Caenorhabditis elegans: one gene and its partners. The protein of the gene in region 1 interacts with the protein of each later gene in a pairwise test. Each region holds a gene or a part of one and is shown on either strand. Other genes may lie near its edges. The genes, in order: par-3, sas-5, spk-1 and dnc-2.

What was found.
Region 2: the proteins of par-3 (region 1) and sas-5 interact in a two-hybrid assay, tested with the Caenorhabditis elegans proteins (one study listed by BioGRID).
Region 3: the proteins of par-3 (region 1) and spk-1 interact in a two-hybrid assay, tested with the Caenorhabditis elegans proteins (one study listed by BioGRID).
Region 4: the proteins of par-3 (region 1) and dnc-2 interact in binary tests that used the Caenorhabditis elegans proteins (3 or more experiments, as listed by UniProt).

What each region holds. Positions count from the first base shown.
Region 1 is NC_003281.10:5,662,132-5,667,275, forward strand, and holds the start of par-3 (PDZ domain-containing protein), read left to right. Parts: upstream 1-2,101; 5' UTR 2,102-2,172; intron 2,173-2,230; 5' UTR 2,231-2,240; coding exon 2,241-2,408; intron 2,409-2,814; coding exon 2,815-2,904; intron 2,905-2,957; coding exon 2,958-3,020; intron 3,021-5,144. UniProt on the Caenorhabditis elegans protein: In cooperation with pkc-3, required for establishing cell polarity and regulating spindle orientation in the early embryo. Localization is crucial for recruiting par-6 and pkc-3 to the peripheral apical cortex and restricting par-2 to basolateral surfaces.
Region 2 is NC_003283.11:11,608,768-11,613,219, forward strand, and holds sas-5 (Spindle assembly abnormal protein 5), read left to right. Parts: upstream 1-1,969; 5' UTR 1,970-2,011; coding exon 2,012-2,063; intron 2,064-2,106; coding exon 2,107-2,363; intron 2,364-2,415; coding exon 2,416-2,635; intron 2,636-2,687; coding exon 2,688-2,791; intron 2,792-2,837; coding exon 2,838-2,963; intron 2,964-3,006; coding exon 3,007-3,193; intron 3,194-3,439; coding exon 3,440-3,708; 3' UTR 3,709-3,829; downstream 3,830-4,452. Other genes in the region: piit-1 (BPTI/Kunitz inhibitor domain-containing protein), read right to left, coding at 472-668, 718-834, 884-1,151, 1,281-1,301.
Region 3 is NC_003281.10:9,455,760-9,463,703, forward strand, and holds spk-1 (Serine/threonine-protein kinase spk-1), read left to right. Parts: upstream 1-1,768; 5' UTR 1,769-2,224; coding exon 2,225-3,264; intron 3,265-3,341; coding exon 3,342-3,456; intron 3,457-3,509; coding exon 3,510-3,758; intron 3,759-3,864; coding exon 3,865-4,173; intron 4,174-4,224; coding exon 4,225-4,464; intron 4,465-4,758; coding exon of another isoform or gene 4,759-4,935; intron 4,936-5,306; coding exon 5,307-5,387; intron 5,388-5,433; coding exon 5,434-6,156; intron 6,157-6,203; coding exon 6,204-6,304; intron 6,305-6,347; coding exon 6,348-6,501; 3' UTR 6,502-7,248; downstream 7,249-7,944. Other genes in the region: rheb-1 (GTP-binding protein Rheb homolog 1), read right to left, coding at 1-51, 178-250; B0464.6 (uncharacterized protein), read right to left, coding at 7,362-7,565, 7,623-7,716, 7,836-7,944. UniProt on the Caenorhabditis elegans protein: Required for embryogenesis and germline development in both adult hermaphrodites and males. SR-protein kinase (SRPK) that binds directly to and phosphorylates the RS domain of rsp-3/CeSF2 in vitro.
Region 4 is NC_003281.10:5,923,668-5,927,778, reverse strand, and holds dnc-2 (putative dynactin subunit 2), read left to right. Parts: upstream 1-2,024; 5' UTR 2,025-2,047; coding exon 2,048-2,155; intron 2,156-2,212; coding exon 2,213-2,279; intron 2,280-2,324; coding exon 2,325-2,739; intron 2,740-2,789; coding exon 2,790-3,117; intron 3,118-3,173; coding exon 3,174-3,251; 3' UTR 3,252-3,381; downstream 3,382-4,111. Other genes in the region: zmp-1 (Matrix metalloproteinase-A), read left to right, coding at 399-753; bcl-7 (BCL7-like protein), read right to left, coding at 984-1,267, 1,490-1,580, 1,628-1,693; C28H8.2 (uncharacterized protein), read right to left, coding at 3,382-3,435, 3,481-3,849.

The DNA of each region.
Region 1 (5,144 bases):
ACTCATCCTTGTGTGTTCTCACATGCTTTCTCATTCGTGAATTGGAAGAATCCCACAGTTTTCCACATTCGGAATGCAATTCAACTTTTTTTTGTGTCATGATTATTGCCGTCATCATCATCACCCGCCCGCTAAGGCCCCTTTCACAAATAACGAACGGTTTGGTGTTGTGGCCCATAAAAGTACCGAGCAAGGTCAGTCGGCGAAGAGAGGAGAGACGGTGTTATTCATGCATACCTCTACACAAATAGTGTCTCGGTCAATCGGACCTATGAGTCTCATTGACATTAAGTTGAGGTATGAACGTCGATGGCAATACCTCGCCTGCTCTTTTTTTTTCGATAAAAGGCAATTAAAAATATCTTTCTTGTAGATTTTTAAACTTTCGGAAAAGCAATCGTAGAAAAGTGCAAAAAGTTGATTGTTCAGTTTGAGCTTTTCCATTCAGGCTCTCCGAGCATTTGACAAGCCGCGCGAGCTCCGCTGGTAACTCACTGTTTTTCTAATATCCAATCGCGCACCGCTGCGCCAATCTCTGTTCATTTCGTCGTTTGCCAGCTCAACTAATAGTCGGGACAGCACCCACTTCATATAACTTATTGACACGACTATAATTTGTCATTTTGCTTCTCCAATCCATCTCATGAAATATGTGTGTCGTGGCGTCAAGTTGGCATATGCAATGAGGTGATGGCTCTCTAACTCTTGTGCAATACAGCTGGTGCGCACTGACTCAACCTTCTCTTTTTTGACATTTTACATTAGGAAAATGCCAATCAGAAAGTGTAATGGTACACAATATGTGACCTATAGTCGGTTTTAGTTTATTTTACGCCGAAAATACGGTACCCGGTCTCGACACGACAAACTGTTGTTAAATGCGAAAAGGGTTGCGCCTTTAAGGAGTACTGTAATTTCAAACTTTCGTTGCTCAAGAATTTTCATTGAATTTTCATAGCGTTCCCCACATATATGTATTTAACAAAACATTTTCGTATCGTATTTTTGGAAAAACGCAAAATTCCGCGTCTGATTTTAAATCACAAACCGACAATAAGGTTTTCCGAATCCAAGAAAAATTGAATTTTCCCCAAAAAGTAGAGCAATTTATTTTCAAGTCTTTCCTGTTTTTTTACAAATCCATCCCAGCACAACTCGGTGTTCTTCCAAAAACTCGTCTCCTCCAACATGCTCATTATAATGGATCATCATCTTCTCTAGAGGATCCTCTGTGTGACTTCTCCACTTGACAAATTGCCCAAGTGGAAATAAAATAGGCACATTTGGAAATCCTTGGTGAGCACTGAGAGAGAAAATAGAGTAGAGAGAATCCAAAAATGTAATTGGATAACCACCTTCCTCCCGTTCTGTCTTCCAGAAATGTCCTCCCATTTTCCCAGCAAAGGTTTCATTGTTTGTTTTGATATCAAAAATTCATTTATTATTTAGCTATGCGATGAGCAATGCGATGACTGCGAATTCAGTTTTAAGGCCGCTTTTTCTTAAATAAAATTTAAAAAAATTTGTAGACTTGTGAAATTGAGAAATACAGTAATCATTTTTCGGAACAGATGGGTACGGTACGCATTCGCGGCGAGACCTATCGCATGGCGGGAAATTTTTTTTGAAAATTAAAATCTGCAAAAACTTCAAATTTTTAGATTGTCTATTGATTTATGTGCGATATTTTGAGTTTTTTCTCATTCCGTCAACTAATTCTCGTCCAGAAGATCAATTAAGCTATTCAGATCTTGAAAACACGAAAAAATCCGATTGAAATCGGAAATCGGGCCGATTTTTTTCAGAATATTGTTTTTCGAGCTGAATTTGTCTGCGCAAAAACAAAACTTAAAACGCTGAATTTTTTGTATTACAGATTTGAAAACTCAAGAATAAAATCACTAAAAAGCTAATTTTTGTATCCTTTTAAAATTGGCGCGGGCAATTCGGACAAATTTTTAAGATTTTAATGTTTTCCCGCTAAATTCAAACTTTTTTCCATCGCTGAGCACACTAAATCATTTGCTCTTTCTCTCTTACTGTTACTTACTTCACAGACACACCAATCATTTTCTTATCACTCTAATATATATTTTCTTGCAGATAGAAAAGGTCTCGCAGAGCAAATAGGTGCGAAACGAGAGAGCCTCTCGGGAGGAGAAACGTTGATTGGTTTGTTAAAACTTCTTTTCATTTCATTTAATTTTTCTTTATATCTGCTCATTTTCAGATCGATCATCATGTCGGCTTCATCCACGTCATCATCTAGCACATCGTGTCCGGAAGGTGGCGAACCATCGGGAAGCTGTAAAAGCAGCGACGAGGGTGAATCGACACTGAAAAAACGAATGCAACAGTACGGAATTGCGAGTGGTTACGCGAATTCCTCAATATCTACACTTGATAGAGTGCGGAAGTTTTTTTTTCTTAAAAATTGGAGAAAAAATCTTGAATTATCTTTCATTCACGCTTCAGAAATCTTCAATTCAAACTGTCAACAGTTCTACCCGATTTTTGTTTCAAAAAAATGCTTGAACTGCTGAGAATTCCATTTCTGCAAATTTTCATACTGCAAAAATGCGCATTTTAAAATGATTTTGTAAATTCAAATTTTTAAGTCAAAATCCGAATTTTGTACACATTCTATTTTTGAGTTGGAAAGTTTAAGATCCTTTTCAAATTTGAAATTTCTGGCTTTTTCGATTATAACACCGAAATCTGGAATTATTTTTTACTTTAAAAAATGTGAAATCCATTGAATATTTGAAACCTTGGTTGTAATTTATAATTATAAGCAATATTTTAATTTTTCAGAGCCAATATCAATCGCTTCCACTGAATGGAACTCGCCGAGTCACTGTTCAATTTGGACGAATGAAAATTGTGGTACCATGGAAGGAATCGGTGAGCTTTTTTTTCAAATGTTCAATCAATTTTTTAATATTTTTCTTGTTCAGGATCAGACAGTTGGTCAACTAGCAGACGCAGCACTTCTTCGGTACAAAAAAGCGAGGGGAATGGTAATTTTTTTTCTCCAAAAATTTGCAGAAAAAAGGTCATTTTGGAGGCAAAAAAGCGTATCCCAAATTTTCCCATGAATACAGTCAGTCGGGAATAATGAAAGGAAAATCAACAAGAAGCACGCAATTTTATCTTCGTCTTATTCTCTTCCAATATTATTCCATTCCCGAAGAAGCAGCAGCCCCCTTTCGTTTTCTCGGAGAGGTTAATTCGGCTGAGAACAAGGCCGCACCGATGAGGATGTGTTGAATACCATTTCTCTGTTCATTTTCACCAAATAATCCCCTTCCTTTTCCGCTTTGGAGAAAAAGAAAGTTTGGAAGAGACGCAGACAGTGTTACAGTGTGTTGTTGGCACACAACACTGTAAATAATAGATATTTCTTCATTCTCTCTCATAAGTGACTGTCAAAAAGTTTTACTATTTTGTGGAGTTGAACTGTGGTGCTCTTGGATTTTTATTTAGTTACTCCTGATCTTCTCACTTTAAACATTAAGACTTAGTGGTTATCATCCCAATTTATATTTACTAAGCAGTAAAACATTTATCTTGATTGAATATCCAATGATCGCTTCATTTTCTTGAAAATCTCTACAAATTGAAGGCAATTTTCTCCTCTTGGACCACCAACCATAACTAGCGAATCCTAGCCAAAGAGGGATTAATTTCCAAAATGGATTCTGGTCGAATTTGACTTTAATCGGCGTACGCTGTGCGGCATGGAAATTCCGGAGGCCGTCGCCTCGTCCCGATTGGATTTTGCAATTTGCAATAAACGGATTGATTTCGACGCGCTTGGTAGATTTTTGTTTATATAACATGCATTGGTCTCTCACCATGTTCACTTCATGGCGGATTTTGTACGAATCTCTTCCCCCTCATCATCATCGTCGTCGATCATCATGCTTCCTGTTCGCGCAGGTTGTAGCATTCGTTTCGCAGTAAATTAAGTTTTCCGCTGTAGGCAGGCAGTTGATCTAAATAAATCTGATAAGAATTTATTCGAAGGCTTAAGATTTGTTATCTCTCTCTCTCTCTCTCTCTCAGTTTTGTTGATTTAGATTTATTTGACGTTGAGGACGATATAATCATTATCAGCAGCAACAACCAACTTGAAATTAATCAAATGGAATGTATAGTTGGACGTTGTGTAATAGGAGTACGAGTAGAAAGTGTGAGTCAATTGCAGAAATTAGTGTTTTGTTAGGAAGTTGGGCGCCAGTTTTAAACCCGCCGCCTACACTTTTGATATTACGATGAGCACGGTTCAAAGGCAGGAGTTTTTTTTTCAGCCGTATCAGACTTTATAAATTTTCCATTTACTAATTTGATCCAGTTTTTATGGTCATGTAACATGTAAAGCTGTGTTTAGTCCCAGCCGAAAAGAAAATTGAACAGAACTCAAAGTTTTCGTGTGACTAAAAAAATATGGTGAGTCACCTTGGAATGTTTTTGTTCGGTTTTGAATTTCAATTCAAAAATTGTGAACAACTTTGGCGTTATTCATAATTGTGGAAGTTTTGAATTTCAGTTGAAAAATGAAAATTGTGATGTGAAAACCTTGAATTATTGTTCCTTTCAAACTTATTGTATTTGACTCCAAAGGCCTCCGAATAGCTCCAGAACATGTGAATTGGCAGCACTTAAAGTTGTTCATCTATCTCTATCTCTCTCTCCTCGCCATCATCGTGAAATAAAGCACCCCCTATTCTACATGCAATGTCATAACACTCATATCTCATGTTATCGCCATCCTCCGCTGCCACTACGAATCATCTGTTCTGAAAGCAGCTTTTTTTCGGGTGGTTTTTGTATTTTTCTTTACTGATAAACAGCTTGTGTTGTTGTTGTTCGCGACGAGAACAAATATCATGGACATTTTACCAACTATTGAGAAGATAAGAAGAAATGGTTAGGAATGATGTGTATATAGACATCTTCCCCTTTCTATCTCTCTTCCCTTCTCTTCCGAGTGTTTCTGTTTCTATTTGTCGTTCGATCTGATGATTGTCGTCATTTTTTCTCAGCCGCTCCTCTTCTTGATGCCCTTGCGCAACCCCACCGTGGCTTACTTGTTGGGGGGTCTTGGAGCGAAGAGCACACATAAATGATATGAGTCATTC
Region 2 (4,452 bases), on another chromosome or scaffold:
ATTTCTATAGATATTTTTCTGTAAAATTTTTTACTGGTTATAGATGTGAGTTTGATATTATAGGTGTGGGTCGCAATACTATTAGAGAAAATGGGGTATTATTTTTAGTGATAGATTTTACTTTAAACTAGGGCTGAATAATAAACGAACCTGGTTGTACTTTGATTGAAAACCATACTCTTGACATGGAGACAAATTACAGGATAAATATAACTGAAGTTTTGTAGTTCCCAAAAGGAAAAACGTTGCCTTAATGTATATAAATTATTATTTTTGCATCACATTCAAAATTATTTTTTAGATTATATAAAAAATATTTAAAAGAAATGAGATAAAAATTGTTTATGAGTGGATGATAATACAGTTAAATCATACTTTGAAAATTACCCGAAAAAAAACTACAAAAATGCCAACTCTTAAAAATAACTTGTTTTTCATAATACAGATAATTCCAGGAATTCAAATATCGTCTTATTGGGAAGTTCTTGTTTGATTTCCACAGGTTGCCATACATGAGTTGTAGTTGGGGAAGTTGTTGGCATTTCCGAGAGTTCCATAGAATGAGAAACGCATGCAAGTTGTGTATTTTGGAACCCAGAAGTATTTGTCACTTTTCTCTCCTCCGACAGCAAACTTTCCAGAGTCATATGTCAAGTTGCAAAGATAGTCTGTGAATTTGAAATTTAAGAATAAAACATTTAAACATTTGATGCTTACTGGATGTTGGACAACAGAATGATTGAATACAGTTATGACCCTGTGGGCAAGTATTAGCTCCTGCTGAGCATCTCACTGGTGTCAAGTGGTCAGTGTCATAGGTAGCAGAGCAAGCAGCTTAAAATTTTTAGAATAATTGCCATAGTTACTAGCTAACCTCACTTACACTTCATTTGAACGGTTTCATCACTTGACTCCGAGTCTCTTTGAGCTTGAGCATTGGTACAAGCTGATCTACACTCTTGTGCACTACTGAACCGGTTACTATTACCACCACATCCCTGATACATGAATGGTTGACACGTTCCAAGTCTTGGAAGATAATAGAACATTCTAGAAGAACTGTTCTCAGCGCAAGTATTTCCAGAGTCCCGTGCAGCAAAACAGTCAACAGAAGTCGATTGAGCCGCAGTGAAAGACAATAGGGAGAGAATCTAAATAATAATTACATTTAAATTAACTGAAAGTCGTATGTAGATCTAAAGTAGATCTATTTCTGGATTTAGTAGTTTTTAATTTAACTAAGTTTCAAACCTCATAATTAAAAGGATTTTAAAACTCACCACAGCCAATCTAAGTGCCATTTTAGTTTTGCCACGTGAAAATGTTGTACTCGAGTTCTGGATTTCTTTTAAATAGGCCATCGAGATTCCCGCCCCTTTAAACTATTGTACTGGCAATCGTGTAAGCTCTTGCTACCGTGCAACACCACCAACAGTCAAATCCAAATTCCAGTTTTGATCTGACCCCACGGAGCAAACATTGTGTGTATAATGTACATATACTGTTGGCTCCTTCGCACTGACTTTTTTACCACGCTGATTTATTTTGAGACACTTTTTCTGTGTCTCGCTGTCTATCTGTGTACAGAGGAAAAATTTTCTCGGAATTTTTAGAAAACCAGTCGGGAGTGTTTACTTGTTTTTTAATACTTTTAATACATTGGAAAATTGTGTAGGTTGAGAAGATTTTTTGTTTGAAAATCTGTCAATCTAAATTTGTTCAACTGATCAGGAACATTCTTCTAAATTGCAGATAATATGAGAAAGTAGAAAATTCTGTTGTTTTATAATAATATCATTTAATTTAATTACAATCTTCTTTCGTCCCCGAATGGTCATGCGAAAAGAAATGTGAGAAAATATACAATGTGCGCGCTCATCTTGCAAAAAATGTGCGCGGGGGTTGCAGCAGAGGCCACGCCCCCGCGACACCAACGCGCCAATTTTAAAGAAAAAACGTTTTATTTTCCAATTTCATAGTTTTAACAGAAATGACCTCGCATTAAGCGGGAATGAATAATTACGACGACTTACCCTGCTCTATTTACTTCAAAAAACCAACTGGTGAGTTGTTTTCGATATAAAAGTGTTAAAATTGCCAATTTAGTCCAGGAGTTTGTGGATCAACCGAGAGTCTTCGAAGATTCTGAAGTCCCTGCCTTTCAAGAAGTTCTTCAGCTTCCACAAGAAAGGACAAAACCCCCAGTACCATCTACGCAGCCAATTGTCGCCGCTGTAGAAGTAGCCAAGAAAAAATCGTGTCTTTCGGCTCCGAAACCAAGAAAAGAGCCACCTTCGCATCCAGCGCTTCGCCAAAAAACAGTTGCGTTTGGAAAAACAGTTAACGTTTCCCAAACTGTCGAGGTAATTAAATTAAAATTGTTCCATGGCATAATTCCACTAAATTATCTTTCAGGGAACATCTCGGAATTCAAAAAAAGTGCTTGCTTCAACAATGTCTGCCCAAAATACGACAACGACTGAAGAACAGGCAGCTGAAAACTGGCGGGACGCTATGAAAACAGAACTGCAAACGATACGAACAGAGATTCAAGAAGAAACGGCCCGGCGACAAGAAGAGCTCAATGCTCAAAATCTTGTTAAAATGCAAGAATTGATGTCAAACTTCTTTCAGAGTATGTTTGAATATATATTATCCCATAAATTCAATAAATAATAATTTTTCAGAGATAACGATTCCTAAACAGCAAGCGATCGAACCAGTTGAAAAAGACAAAGAAAATTTTCATGAGAGTCCTCGTCAATCAAGACAGCAGAAGCCAGCTAGTAAAGTGAGAATTCAGATAAAAAATAAATCAAAAAGTACTCCGTTTTAAGATCGCTTCGGCACGAGAAGTTATCAAAAGAGACGGTGTTATACCTCCAGAAGCATTAACAATTATTGAGCAACGCCTTCGCTCGGACCCAATGTTTCGCCAACAAATTGATAATGTTCTAGCAGACGTGAGTAGTGTATTTAAATCCGATAGAAATAGTTTGTTTTCAGGCTGAATGTGATGCTAACAGAGCTGCATATTCTCCACCACCACCAATGTCTGAAGTTAGATACGGATCTGGTGTGAATCCTGCTTTGATGAGAGAAACACTTACGGTAGAACGAAGTATTCGATATGACAACGGACTCGCTTCTATTGATTCTAGACAGTGGACAAATGAGAGACGTGATAATCGTGGTAATTTAATTTTTCAATATTCAAACACAGAATTCGTCCGCTAGAATTGTATAAATATAATAATTCACGCATTCCAAAATGTATCAAATAATTCATTAAAAATGTTTGAAAGTTGATAACCATTCGTAGTGAAAACACTTTATACTACGAAATGATTTTAAGATGAAATCCTCAAATCAGTTGAAAAATTTGAATTAAAAGTCAAAAATGAGAAGTCTCTTCACTATTCAAAAAAACCTTTTCTAGCTCCTGACTCATACCGTACCTACGAACCGGATCAACCATGTCACTCACTCTATCAAAAGGGTCAAAGTATTAGCTATTATCCGTCAGAAGCAGCTGGAAAAACGACAGCTAGAAACAATCGAACTGGATACTACGTGGAAGATTCATCAGATCATGAAGAGGATGTTGTAGTCAATAAACGGGGACAGAACTATCACGAGCAAGCGGTACCTGAGACTCCAGCTGAACGAGAACGCCGTATTCGTGAAAAATACGCTCGCAGGAAATGATATCAAATGTGTTTAACTCTTGACGTTTTAAAATTATCATTAATCACTACGTGTAATGTCTGTGAATTGTACTAAAACCATTACTTCCAGCTGTGACCTGAATAAATTTTGAATTTCATCGATTCTTTCTCATTTGATCATATGATCGAGATAGTCTCGAACTTAATTCGATTTTCAGCACTTCACACTTCTGTCATTGTTTGACAAGTACCAACTTGACCTTTCCATCGGTCTCCTTCAAGAGTTTCATTTGTGTACGAAATAAAAATGAAAATTCTAGTAGTGTACGTGTTAATTGGAGAAGTTCTACGAATTTTTAAACTACAAGTTCATAACTTTTAAAACAAACTGTTATGGCATGTACACATGTGTTCCTGTATTAAAACACTTGCTGTCTTCAGACTTTCCAATTGAAAAGATACACTTTCACTTGATTTTCCATATGCAAGCAAGCGTTTTGAACTATCACTACCTTTCTCTATTTTTGATTTCTCTTCCTGTTGACTTTTGCACCCGAATTTTTTGAATTTCTTTTGTCAAAATCTAGTAAATATTGACATTGATTATTTATAGAGAGTAGGTGGAAAATTAGAAAATATAAAAGATTAGGTGTGTCTTGTTCATCTTTGCAAATTTGTTTTTTGGCATTTTCAAAAAGTTCGAGAGAGCACCCAGATGTTTGGACTTCAACTGTTCCATTGTACTCTCCCCATTTATAAACTCTGCGATTTTTCCCATTTCTCT
Region 3 (7,944 bases), 3.8 Mb from region 1:
ACCTTTCAGGGAAAATATTTTGTGTGAAACGAAGTACCAACGCCGATTTTCCTGTAAAGTTTCTCAACGTGAATGTCCTTGTTTAAATAAAGTTGTTTTAATTTTTTCATTGCTTTGTTCAATTTTGCTCCCGGTATGTTTGATTTTCTACAAAAAAAAGTTGTCGTAAACGCTCACCAACATGAGGATATCCCATAACGGCCACTTTTCGATTCAGACTCTGACGATTTGATTGCAGCGAACTGCTCATCTTCACAAAAATGAGTATATTCTGAATATTGAATGATTGAGTTTTGATAGAAGTATAAAAAATTAATAAATAAAATAAAAAGGGAAAAGTAAAAAAATTATTTTTTTAAACACTCATCATTATTTTTAAATTCTCTATTAATATTTAACATGTAGAAACAAAGAAATGATGTACTTTTGCAATAATATGCGCTTTTTTCCTGATAAAACGAACTAAAAACCAACTGTAAATAGAGAATTGCAGGCGAGAGAGCGTGTGAAAATAAGAGACGGAGGCGCATGATACACTTCTTGGCAGCAAGCCAAACCCACCGTACCCAAGCAAACCTGCAGATCAAACTCGAGATCGATATTTCTGGCGCAAAACGGCCGCCAATTTGAGCCCTCCGCGTTGAAAGCGTTATTATCATTCGAAATTGGCATAGGTCTTATCAAGAATTATATTTTATGTTTGTACGGGCAGATATAATCTTTTTATCATCATTTTTGTTGTTCAATTAACCTCCGCAAACTTTTAAAAACTCAAAAACATTTTCCTCTGAAGTGTTTTCTTGTTTTCCCCGAATTTTGATGAGTCCTATTTTATTTATTTGTATCAATTTCAGTGAAACGAACCGTGTTTAAGTGTAGAATATGGGCGGACCAGAAAAAAACAGCACAGTACCACTGCCAAATAAGAAAAGGAAGAAGAAGACCAATAAGAAAAAGGTGAGCATTTTTCGGTTTCTGTTCAGAAGTTTTCCCTTTTTCTAAACACTTACACTTTCGAAAAATTAAAGCTCAGTCTGTTCTGACACTAAATCGAACCCAAAGAATACTCTTTTTTTCTAATGGCCTCTAGAGATTTGAAAACTTCAAACAGCTCTGTCGCATTCCCTTCATTTCACGCACTTCCGAGCTTACTCTCTTGGATGCGAGCCCTCCACTAATATATTCTCACATCAGTTTTAACTTAGATTTCTCCTTTGCCTCAAGTAAAATGAGAACGGCTTCATTATGAGCCAGTGGCAGCCGCTAATGACCCAGGGGTAGAGATAACCACTAATTTTCTTTTCTTACACTAGTTTTAAAACAAAACAAAGTGAAAATTTATGAGCATGCTTAGTATTTTGCATTCAATACATTGGCTATATCGCCGATTGAATGTGAGTTTAATAGAATTCTGCCATTAAGCTTTTTTAATCTTCATATTTCAGCCCACAGCACCAAACACGCCTACATCTCCTCAAGCGGGTGAGAAAAACGCAAATTTGAAAAATGGAACAGTTACAACAAACGGATCAAATCACGTGGAAAGGTGAGATTTTGAGTTTTTTTTTTTAATATGCTTTAATTACATCGCTGAAACCGGGACCAAAATGATTATAAGTTGTTTGGTGTAATCGTTGCATCGTCCTTTTCTCATGACAGCAACTGGTTGTCTTTTCACTTCGTCTCAAATGATCCCACCTTCGTGTGTCCGTCATCCATCCACCCATCCATCCATTCGTCCCTTCTTTTCTATCTTCTCTATTCCTTCACCTTGGCCTTTTCTCTCTGTCAGCTGTCTCCTCTTCGCGACCTGGCCGACAAGTTGAAGATTGAAACAAGGAAGAGAGACCCAGGATTTCCTCTATCTCTTGTTGGGCGCCGCAATCATTACATCACTATCACTTGAACACTCTTCCTTCTCACACCGATCGCGTTTTCTTCAAGTCGCTCCTCGCGCCTCGTTGGCCGCCGCCAATATTCTCGAGACACTTCTCGCGCCGCTGATCTTCCTTATCCCCCTTCCCACTCTCAAAGCGTCGCAACTCGCTTCTACGTGGTCGCTATTTCAAAAAAAATCGCCTGCTTTTGAATCCAGTTTTCTTCTGTCAGGCTGGCCGGTCGAGCAGTACATTCGCTCTCAGCTATCGATTACTCGGGTATAACAAATGATGTCGAAGCAGGCGGCTCCTTCAGCTTAACTGACGTTTTCCCCACTGTCATATTCATGTTTGTGGTTCTATTCTGTAGATGGCTCAATGGCTTCAGCCAGCATCGAGAACGACTTTATAAATTCGAAGATGAAGCCGTTCAGAGACGCCGCCGTTTTCGTGTTCATTCAGAGGAATCGGAAGAACTGAATGACCACGAATCGTATTCTGAAACTGATATTTGTACACAGCTTTTGGCATCATCTGCAGACGTAACCTGTCATATAAATGTTGATTTGGTCAACCAGAATCGATTTTATTTCTTTGTAAAGCAAAGAAATAAAAAAGAAAATTCGACCAATGAAGAAGAAGAAATCTCTTCCCAAGAAATAAATACGAGTACACAAAATGAAGAGACAGAAGTTAATTTAGTGTTCGCTAGTGCGGAAGATAATGGAGGCGTCGCGTCGAATTTCGATATATCAGACGCTCTAATGGTTACCTCTAACATTTCCGAAGTCAGTAAACTACCGGAAACGTTGTGCGAAGAGGGTGAAACTGTACAACAAAAAAGTGTTGTAAATGAGAATGATCATTCGAATGAGGACGATGAACAGTCGCTACAATCACAAGATGGTTCAAGATGCTCTGATGAAGACATGAACTCTTGCGTATCTGCCTCAGATGAAGAGGACGTTGAATCTCAAGATGATTCTTTTCATGTGAATGATGCTACCGAAGAATCAATTGATTCGGTAAGCTCTATTGAATCACAAGAAGCAGAAGAGTCAGCAACTGAAGATTTGGCGTCGTGTCATTCGAACGACGATAAAAATGAAAAAGATGTTCTTGTCGATGAGGACACATCCAAATACGATAACCTTCCGGTGGAAATGCGGTCAGCAAAAGAGGGTGAAGAGAGTGAAGGGACGATCGATTCTTCAGTCTCCTCGTCGACATCGTCTTCCTCAACGGGCGACGACGGGGACGACAGTGCTACCTCTTACGACTCAGAAGATATCGAAATTCAGATGTTCGAGTATGATCTGGGAACCGCATGCGCTTCAGCTTCTATTTCTATTCCTCGTCCATCTATAATTCCAAGAAATAACAAAAAGTAACATTTATTTTCCATTAACTAAATTAGTATTACTAATATCAATCAGAAACTGTCTTTTAATTTACATTTTTCAGGACCGAAGTCAATGCTAATGAAGAGCGTTTGGACGATTTAAGTGTGAGCCCCGGACGAAGTGATTCTCCTGGAGGCGGCGGTGGTGGACATTCAGATTCATTCCAAGATCCAATGGTGAGTTGATTTTTGCATTTCATTTTTTTGTATTTATACATATTTATTTTCAGGATCCTGGAGAACAACTTGGATCTGACGATGAAGAACAAGAAGATCCACGTGATTACAAACGAGGTGGATATCATCCAGTCAACATTGGTGATGTATTCAATGCGAGATATCATGTGATTCGTAAACTTGGATGGGGTCACTTTTCTACGGTTTGGCTGGCGTGGGACACTCAAGACAAACGATTTGTTGCCATGAAAATAGTGAAGTCAGCGGAGCATTACACGGAAGCGGCTCTTGATGAAATTAAGGTTAGTTTTGAAGTAACGTAGTGCTGAAACAATAGATTTTTATGCAACATTCTCTGAGACTCGAGAAAAAAAAATTAAGACTAATATAAAACGAGAATAATTTCAGTTGTTGCTATCCGTACGAAGTGCTGATCCAAATGACATCGGATGCCACAAGGTTGTTCAATTGCTCGATGAATTCACTGTTACGGGAATTAATGGTCAGCACGTTGCTATGGTGTTTGAAGTTCTTGGGTGCAATCTGTTAAAGCTGATTATACGCTCAAATTATCGAGGACTTCATCTGGAACAAGTTAGGAAAATATGCAGACAAGTTCTGGAGGCGTTAGGATATATGCATGAAAAGTGCGGCATCATTCATACTGATATTAAACCTGAAAATGTGCTAATCACGATGAGCCGAGAAGAGATCAAGGTATTTTTTAAAAACCATTAATTGTGGAATTAATTTTTCAAAATTTTACAGATTATGGCTCAACATGCTGTAGTTGCCCGGAAGATGAATATGAAAATGAGTGGATCGGCTGTCAGTACTGCACCGGATCATTTGGTGAAAATGGCTCAGGAGAATATGACGAAAAACAAGAAGAAAAAGATGAAGAAGAAGGCCAAAAAACAACGAGAGAAGTTGGAAGCGGAATTGGCTGGACTCGAAGGCCTCAAAATGGACGCTAATGGGCTGCAGGAGGCATACAATAATGCACCGGTAAGTTGAACACTATACCGTTCTTCTTCTAATAGTATTGCACCCCAATACTTGAATTTTTAAATTTGAAAGAATATATCTCTGTTCATTTCAAAGATATCATTTCACATTTTAATTTTGAAACGATAGAAAAAGAAATAAAAAAGTATTTTCTTAGTTGACAAACATTGGAAAAGTTTCGATGTGCAATAATAATAGAGGAAATACGCTGGTAATTTTTAAAAAATCAAGATTATACTCTATCAATCATAATTTTTTAAAAAACGAAACAAAAACGATAAAACTGATATATAGCAAAATGGTGTCCGAATGCGTCCTCCATCTTTGCTCTTCAATGGTCCGATTCCCCAACTGCTTCAAGGCAGTTCTTGTGTGAATACGCCATCGTCTCCAAGAACGGTTCCACCGCCACCACCATCTCTCTATCCACAGGTTGGATGCGTCTGCAATCAGACGTATCATCTGACACAGGTGATCCTGAATGCGAATGTTGGTGTGAGTGTTTGGTTGTGTTGACATGATGATGGTTCCCTTCTACTCTCTCTTCCTCGATTCACACACTTATTTCCACTCTGCAACCAAAATTACCGGAAGACGCTTGTATATTCACACGTACCTCATTTCTCCTTCCGTTTCTTTATTTTAAAATTCACTGACTATTTAGTTTCGGTTTTTTTTGCCGCTGCGCCCTGGATGCCGTCTGCATTTTTTCGTCGTTTCGTCTTTGTTGCAGAAAATACATCAGTGCTGTATCTAATTTTTATCATATATAAGCTTAAACATGTTGTGAATTCAGTTTAGAAAAAAATCTGAATCAATTAATTTAATTTTTATTTTTTCAGGAGTTGGAGAACTTCAACGCTTCACAAGTGGAAGATGTCACCATGGAAGATACTGTCAATGAAAATGGAAACAGAAACAAGGTATGATATATTTCATTTTTGTAGCCACAACCATTTATATTTTCAGGTGGAAATCAGGAGCCCTGATCGTTTCGATAGAACCACGCTGACTCCATTCAGTGATCCGGAGAGCAAGTTTGGAGATTTGGCCTCACCATCCGCCGAATATCTGAGCTCGCCCATGAGCCAGTTGCCTCCAGGTGGTATCCTGCCTGCTCCTCCAGTTGGCCCCAACATTGGTGATCCATATTGTGACATCGACGTCAAAATCGCTGATCTCGGAAACGCGTGTTGGGTGAATCATCACTACACGGACGATATTCAAACTCGTCAGTATAGAGCACTTGAAGTGTTGATCGGTTCAGGATACGGACCTCCAGCTGATATTTGGAGTACCGCGTGTATGGCTTTTGAATTGGCAACCGGTGACTATTTGTTTGAACCACACCAAGGAGATAACTATTCACGCGATGAAGATCATCTTGCGCACATTTCCGAACTTCTTGGAGCAATTCCACCGTCAATTTACAAAAAGGGTAAACATTGGAGAGAGTTCTTCCACAAAAATGGACACTTACTTCACATTCACCAACTTAAACCATGGTCACTATACGAGGTTTTGAGACAAAAATACGAGTGGTCTCATGAAGACGCGCAGCAGTTTGAAAGTTTCCTTCGTCCGATGCTTGATTTCGATCAGGAGAAACGATCTACGGCCAAAATTGCATTGAAACATCCGTTCTTGTTACCATTTGGAGGAAGAGCGCCAAAATCTGATTGTCCACCTGAGGTTTTATATTAATTGTCTGTTCAATATTTTCTCTATAATTTTTACAGCTTCTGAGCAAGATGTTTCCGGATGGATTGATTCCCGAGCCGTTCGACGGAAATGAGCATCAGGAAGTTTACCGTGACGAAAATGATAGTAGATCGGCGAGGTTCGTAAGCTCGGACCGACGCGGATGTAAACGCAAATTGCAGCGAGAGGAGTGCCAATAGCAGGTCTGCGGGCGGCAGCGACGACGACGACGAGGAGGAGTTCAACATGAATCGACCTGGTCCATCGGGGGTGATAACAAACAATGAAACGACCGACATTTCTGACATTGAACGCTTTCAGCTGGATTTGCAGTAGTGCACGAATCCCTCCTGTTTGTTAACACTTCCATCACCGTCTCGTCACTCTTCAACGCCCTCTTGCACATCTCCCGAGTTAAACATGTTCTCCTGTCAATTTGACGATATTCATCTTTATGTTTTTCCTTTTTTCAATCAAATTTTACTCGTTTCTTGCCTACGATAGGTGAAAAGAAAACACTTCGGGCTAATTTTTTTTTTCAGCATTTTCCAATCTTTTGTTCCAGAGTGTTTACTTTTATGTTTTGAATCTAGACAGTGTTTAACTTATTGTTTCGGATTTCAACAATCATCCGACTACTTCATCTCCCCATTCTCCCTGTCACTTTCTACATCGAATCACCGCATCCTTTCTCTTTTTTACCACCGTTCTTCCTGAAGTGACTGAGCAGTAAGCACGTTTAGCGCCACTCTCGTGCGCGTCTCGTTGAAGCGCCTTTTGATCTTTAGTGCTACTGGTATAATATAATTATTTTGTACGAACATCGTCCTTATCCTCTGCCCAACAACATCATATGCTTCTATCAGCCTCAAACAGTAGATCATCTTTTCCCCCCATTTCTTTTTCATTTATATTCCTCCGTCTGTTCACATACCCAAACTATTTGGCATAAACCTTTCTCAAATCTTTACTGTGCTTCATTGCTTCCTTTCCCCTTCTCTCTCTCTCATTATCTCGGTTTCCTCGTAGACATAAATGATTGAATTTTGTAACGTTAGCGAGATAAAAAATAATTGATTCATGTGGGTGGTCGTCGAGAGATCGTAACAAAAGAACAACAAAACAAAGCGGGAGAAAATAAAAACCTGTTAAAGGATACGATAATAAACATCATATAAAAACTTGAATTGAATTTTTCACGCCAGGACGTATGTCATGTTAATTCCTGATGGTCCGATTGAGGTCTGATCCAGATATCCATGATTTTCATGTTTCACAAAATGAATAAATTGAGCGATAGCACGGAAGAGATTGGGTGATTGACGGAGAACGTTGCACTTAATTGCATATCCATTTTCATCAATGTGCACAAATTCAGCGTGTGGAGGAGATTTTGTAACCTGAAAAAACATTTCTTGAAGTGAGGAGGAACAAGAGTGAATTATTATAAGCCATACCATGTGAAGATAGAAACTGAATGGAGTACGTTGAGCAGATGATGGTTTTTGAGCATTTTTGACACAGAATCGGCTGGTGAATGGCTGGTCAAGGCTGAAAATTGATTTAATTTTTAACACAATTTATTGAATTAAACGTTAAAACAGGATTATAAAAGTATACTTTTTTCAGATTAACTGAAATCTAATATATTCCAGAAAACAATTACTAACCGACTATCTCCAACGAGACAATTGGAATTGAGTTGAGCATCCATATAAGCCAGAAAAATGTCGAATACGAGAACTGCATCAGTTGGCAACGAATCATTCCATTCACGGC
Region 4 (4,111 bases), 260 kb from region 1:
TAATCAAAGCAGTTAGTAAAAAATAAATATTGAGTAATGATAATTGTAGGTTCAGCGAAAATTCGAAAGTTCGTAAACTTGAAAAATCGTTACTTTTTAACATATTTGTTTCAAGTTTGAAATGTTACCAAAACGTAACACATTGCTAATCAAAAATACTCGGGTCTTGGCACGAACGAAACTTTTCAGATATCGTACCCGCGATCGTTTAGCAGCTTTTCACCGATTTACTTTGATACTTTGAAAGATTATCTTGGTGTTTAAAAAAAACATTTATTTAAATATTTCCAAAAAGACGGTACATAATACATTTTGAGAAACTACTCTGAGGGTACGGTAGCTGAAAAGGTTCGTTCAGGACCACAACTTAATAAAATCAAATATAATTTCCATTTCAGTCCGCCTGCTGTATACATTTGGAAAGGATCTCGATATTGGAAATTAGACGAGAAAATGTATCATCGAAGAGTTGATGAAAGGTATCCAAAAGATACTGATCTGAATTGGGCGAGAGTTCCAAAAGGAGTACATTCTGCCTTCACTTATGAAAAAGAAATTCATCTTCTACGTGGAAATCAAGTTTTTCGAATGAATTCATCCCGATCTGTATTTGATATTGCTGATGGATATCCCCAACCTTTACAATCTTTTTTCGGATTCTGCCCTCGCAATGAGAAGCTTGTTCTGAATTCTTCTTCTTCACATTTTTCTTTGATCTATGCAACAATTACTATTTTGATACTCATCTTTTAAGATTTAAATCTCTCAATGGCAGATTCACTTGTAAAAACAGCACTGAAATGGGTTTTATTTAAAGTTTTAACTTGTTATTTTAACTGGTGAATACAAAAAATTATTAAAAATAAATGTGATGAAACATGAAAATTTTTGAATTAATGAGATAAAGTTCGGAATGAATCAGGATTATATGATACAACATGAAATCAAAATGAGTACAGATTAGAGATCATTAGATAAAGATTTTATGGTTGTTTTGATGTCATTTCAGCGTCGCGCATCGAACTGAAATCCGTTGAACCAGTGGCTCCACCTTGATAGTTTTGTGGCTCGAAAGTTTGATTGGAGTCACTATCAAAGTGATCGCCAGTGGAAAAATTGGAATCTTCGTTGATATCGAATTGTGGTGGTGGTTGGGTAACGCTGGTGGAATCCTGGGAATTCTCAGCAGATGGGACTTGATTGCTCTCCTCATCCACTTCTTTGACTTCCTTGATCTTTGGAGGAGCCATTATGTTTTGAGCGCTCACTGAAAAAGTTGTATTGAAAGTTTGGTTTTTTTTTTGAGAAATTCAAAACTTTTATATAGCAGAATATGTTATTAATTCATAATGCAGAGTCATTGAATTGTATCAAAAATATAAGTGTGAAGTTTTTTTTTTAATAATTACTATTTTAAAAAAGTATTTCATATAAATTTATATATAAATAGTTTCTAAATACCGAAATACGTGTTAAAATAAAAAATTACCCGGAACCCATTTGTAGATCCGAATATTTGTGTCCTTGATAAGAACTAACTTCTTTTCCCACCGACGAACTTTTTCCAATGAGTTGATAACCTGAAAATCTTAATATCAGTTTAGTTTTGGAAAAGTTGATTGTTTACCTTTCGGAGTTCATCTTTTGAGCGATTTCTTGTTTCAGCGCGATGAGATCTATTTGCTGAGTACATCTGAAACTTAAAAATTTAATAAATTTACAGAAAAATAAATAAAAAGAACGAAATACAATAAAACTGTTTAAATTCGAACAATCGAACGTTTTTGCCAAAACTGAACTCTGTCGCCTCTAATCTCTAATACGTGCCGGTAGAGCGCAGTAACTCATTGTTGTGTGTAGTCCTCTCGGACAATCTAATTTACTTGTTTCGCAATCAATTCCACGGCCATTTTGATGTTTCTAGCACGATTTATTACTTTAACCTATCATACATTTTGTTTATTCATTTTTCTAAATTTTTGCCGTTTGATCCTAAATATTTTAAATCAAATTCTGTTTTCTAGAAACTCTCAAATCTTGCGTCAAAATGTCATCTATTGGAAAAGAAGATATCTACGAGTCTGACGGAGCTGCAAGTCAAGTTCAAAAAAGTGAACCTGAAAATGACAATCCAACTCATCCGGATATCGAACTGGTTTGTATTTAATTAATTTAAATAATATAAATATTTAGTGAATTCTGATTTTTACAGATTTCGGTTGACGTTGACGAAGCTCTCAAAAAGTACAAAAACCGGGTACTGAACTTGACTTCAAGCGGTAATTTTAAAATAATATTACTTATCATCTTTTTTTTAAATTTAGATTTTTCTGACTCGATTGCTAAAAAGCGGCGACACGCATTTGGAAACAATCAATACGTATTGGAAGTTACTGGTGCAGGATTTTCGGGAACCGAGACTGCAGCCGAAAAACTGAATCGCATTTTGTACGAAGTCGCCGATCTGAATGAACAAATTCGTGCTGATGAAAATCTTAAAACGGATTTGCTCAACGCTGAGGTTCTTGAGAATCTAGAGAAAGAAGTGAAAACGTTGCAAGTGGCTCAGTCAAATGGAAAAACTGCACGAGTTGAGCATGATGTTGAGTTACCAAATGTTCGCACTGACTCGAAAGTGGCAACTCTTGAAAATAGGTTGAGAAGAATCGAACAAGTTATTGGAAGTTCGGTTATTCCATCAGCTCCCGTACTTGACACCATTGAAGATCTCAAACTCAGGTGAGATATCTTAAATTTAAAAAAATAAAAACGTATGAAAAATGTTTGAGATGCGAAACGCTTAATCATTCGTATGTCTCCGGTCTTGAACAACGTTTGAATATGATGCTTACCAAACTTGAAAAAATCGACGAGACACGCGCCAACAATGATATCGACGAGAATCTTGACAAGAAAGTTGATGAAATTCTGGAGCTTATGCAAAAATGGGATGTCGCTTGCTCATCTCTTCCAAGCAATGTTAATAAGGTTAAAGCATTGAACCGTCTTCACGAACAAGTTCAACACTTTGCCGGTGGACTATCACATTTGAAAACTATCAGAGAAAAACTCGAAAAGGAAGTCGCGCAAGGAAGAGAAGCGATTATCGAGTATGAGGTGTGTTTTTTAATTGTTTCGAGGAATATAAACAAATTAAATTATTGAAATTACAGTCCCAAGGAAAGCAAGAAATCGGGTCAGTGGTTGAAAAGCTGAAGCTTCTCGAGGCAAAAGTGGCAGATTTGAAGTGATTTTATCGACCTTTCTAGAGAAACAATTCATAATTTATTGTGTACGGACAATGCAACATTAACTAATCTGTTCGATATATTTATGTGCTTTATTTTTGCTTTCCATATTTCCGAATGAACCAATCTCTATTCAGCAATTGAAGGCCATACTCAGATAACGAACTCCCCATCCGACATTCTCGTCCTGAAATTTTCATATTTCTAAGTCAGATTTTTCGCGAAAACTCACATTAACCGCTCTGATAATCATATGAAAATGATCTTCGAATCCAAACCAAGATTGTGATGTAACATGGAATTCAACCGTCATATGAGAAGAATCTTTAGTCATTATTGCAAAGATAATACGAATTTCAGGATTGTAATGAGTTCTTGTATATCTATCGAAATATGATTTAAATCTGGCAAAATCCAATTCCTCTTGAATATGACAATCAGTTCCTTTTACTTGATCATCATAATAATTGAAATGCTCAATCATTTCTGTTTTATTTCGGAACATTCGTCGAAAAGTTCCCATGAAATATTGCAAGAAGTGAAAAGCATTTTTAGTTCTCACCATCTTCGGGAACATTGATCGTGGGTCACTGATAAAGTTCTGAAATATTTCGGTTGGTCCCGACATGAAAACTCAAGTCTTGATAAATTTCCACAATCTGCTAAATAAAGAATTCGCTAATTTGAGCAAAAAAAAAGTCATTTTATCGAAAAGTGTCCTAGAGCGCCAGCGTCTATGATGGTATACGGTATATTTTTTTATGTCGCGATTTTGCTTTGCTTTTTGTTTTTTTTTGTTTTTCGTTTGATTTTGATTCATAATATTTTTGAAAAACCAAAAATTTTATCCAACAAAAGGAGAA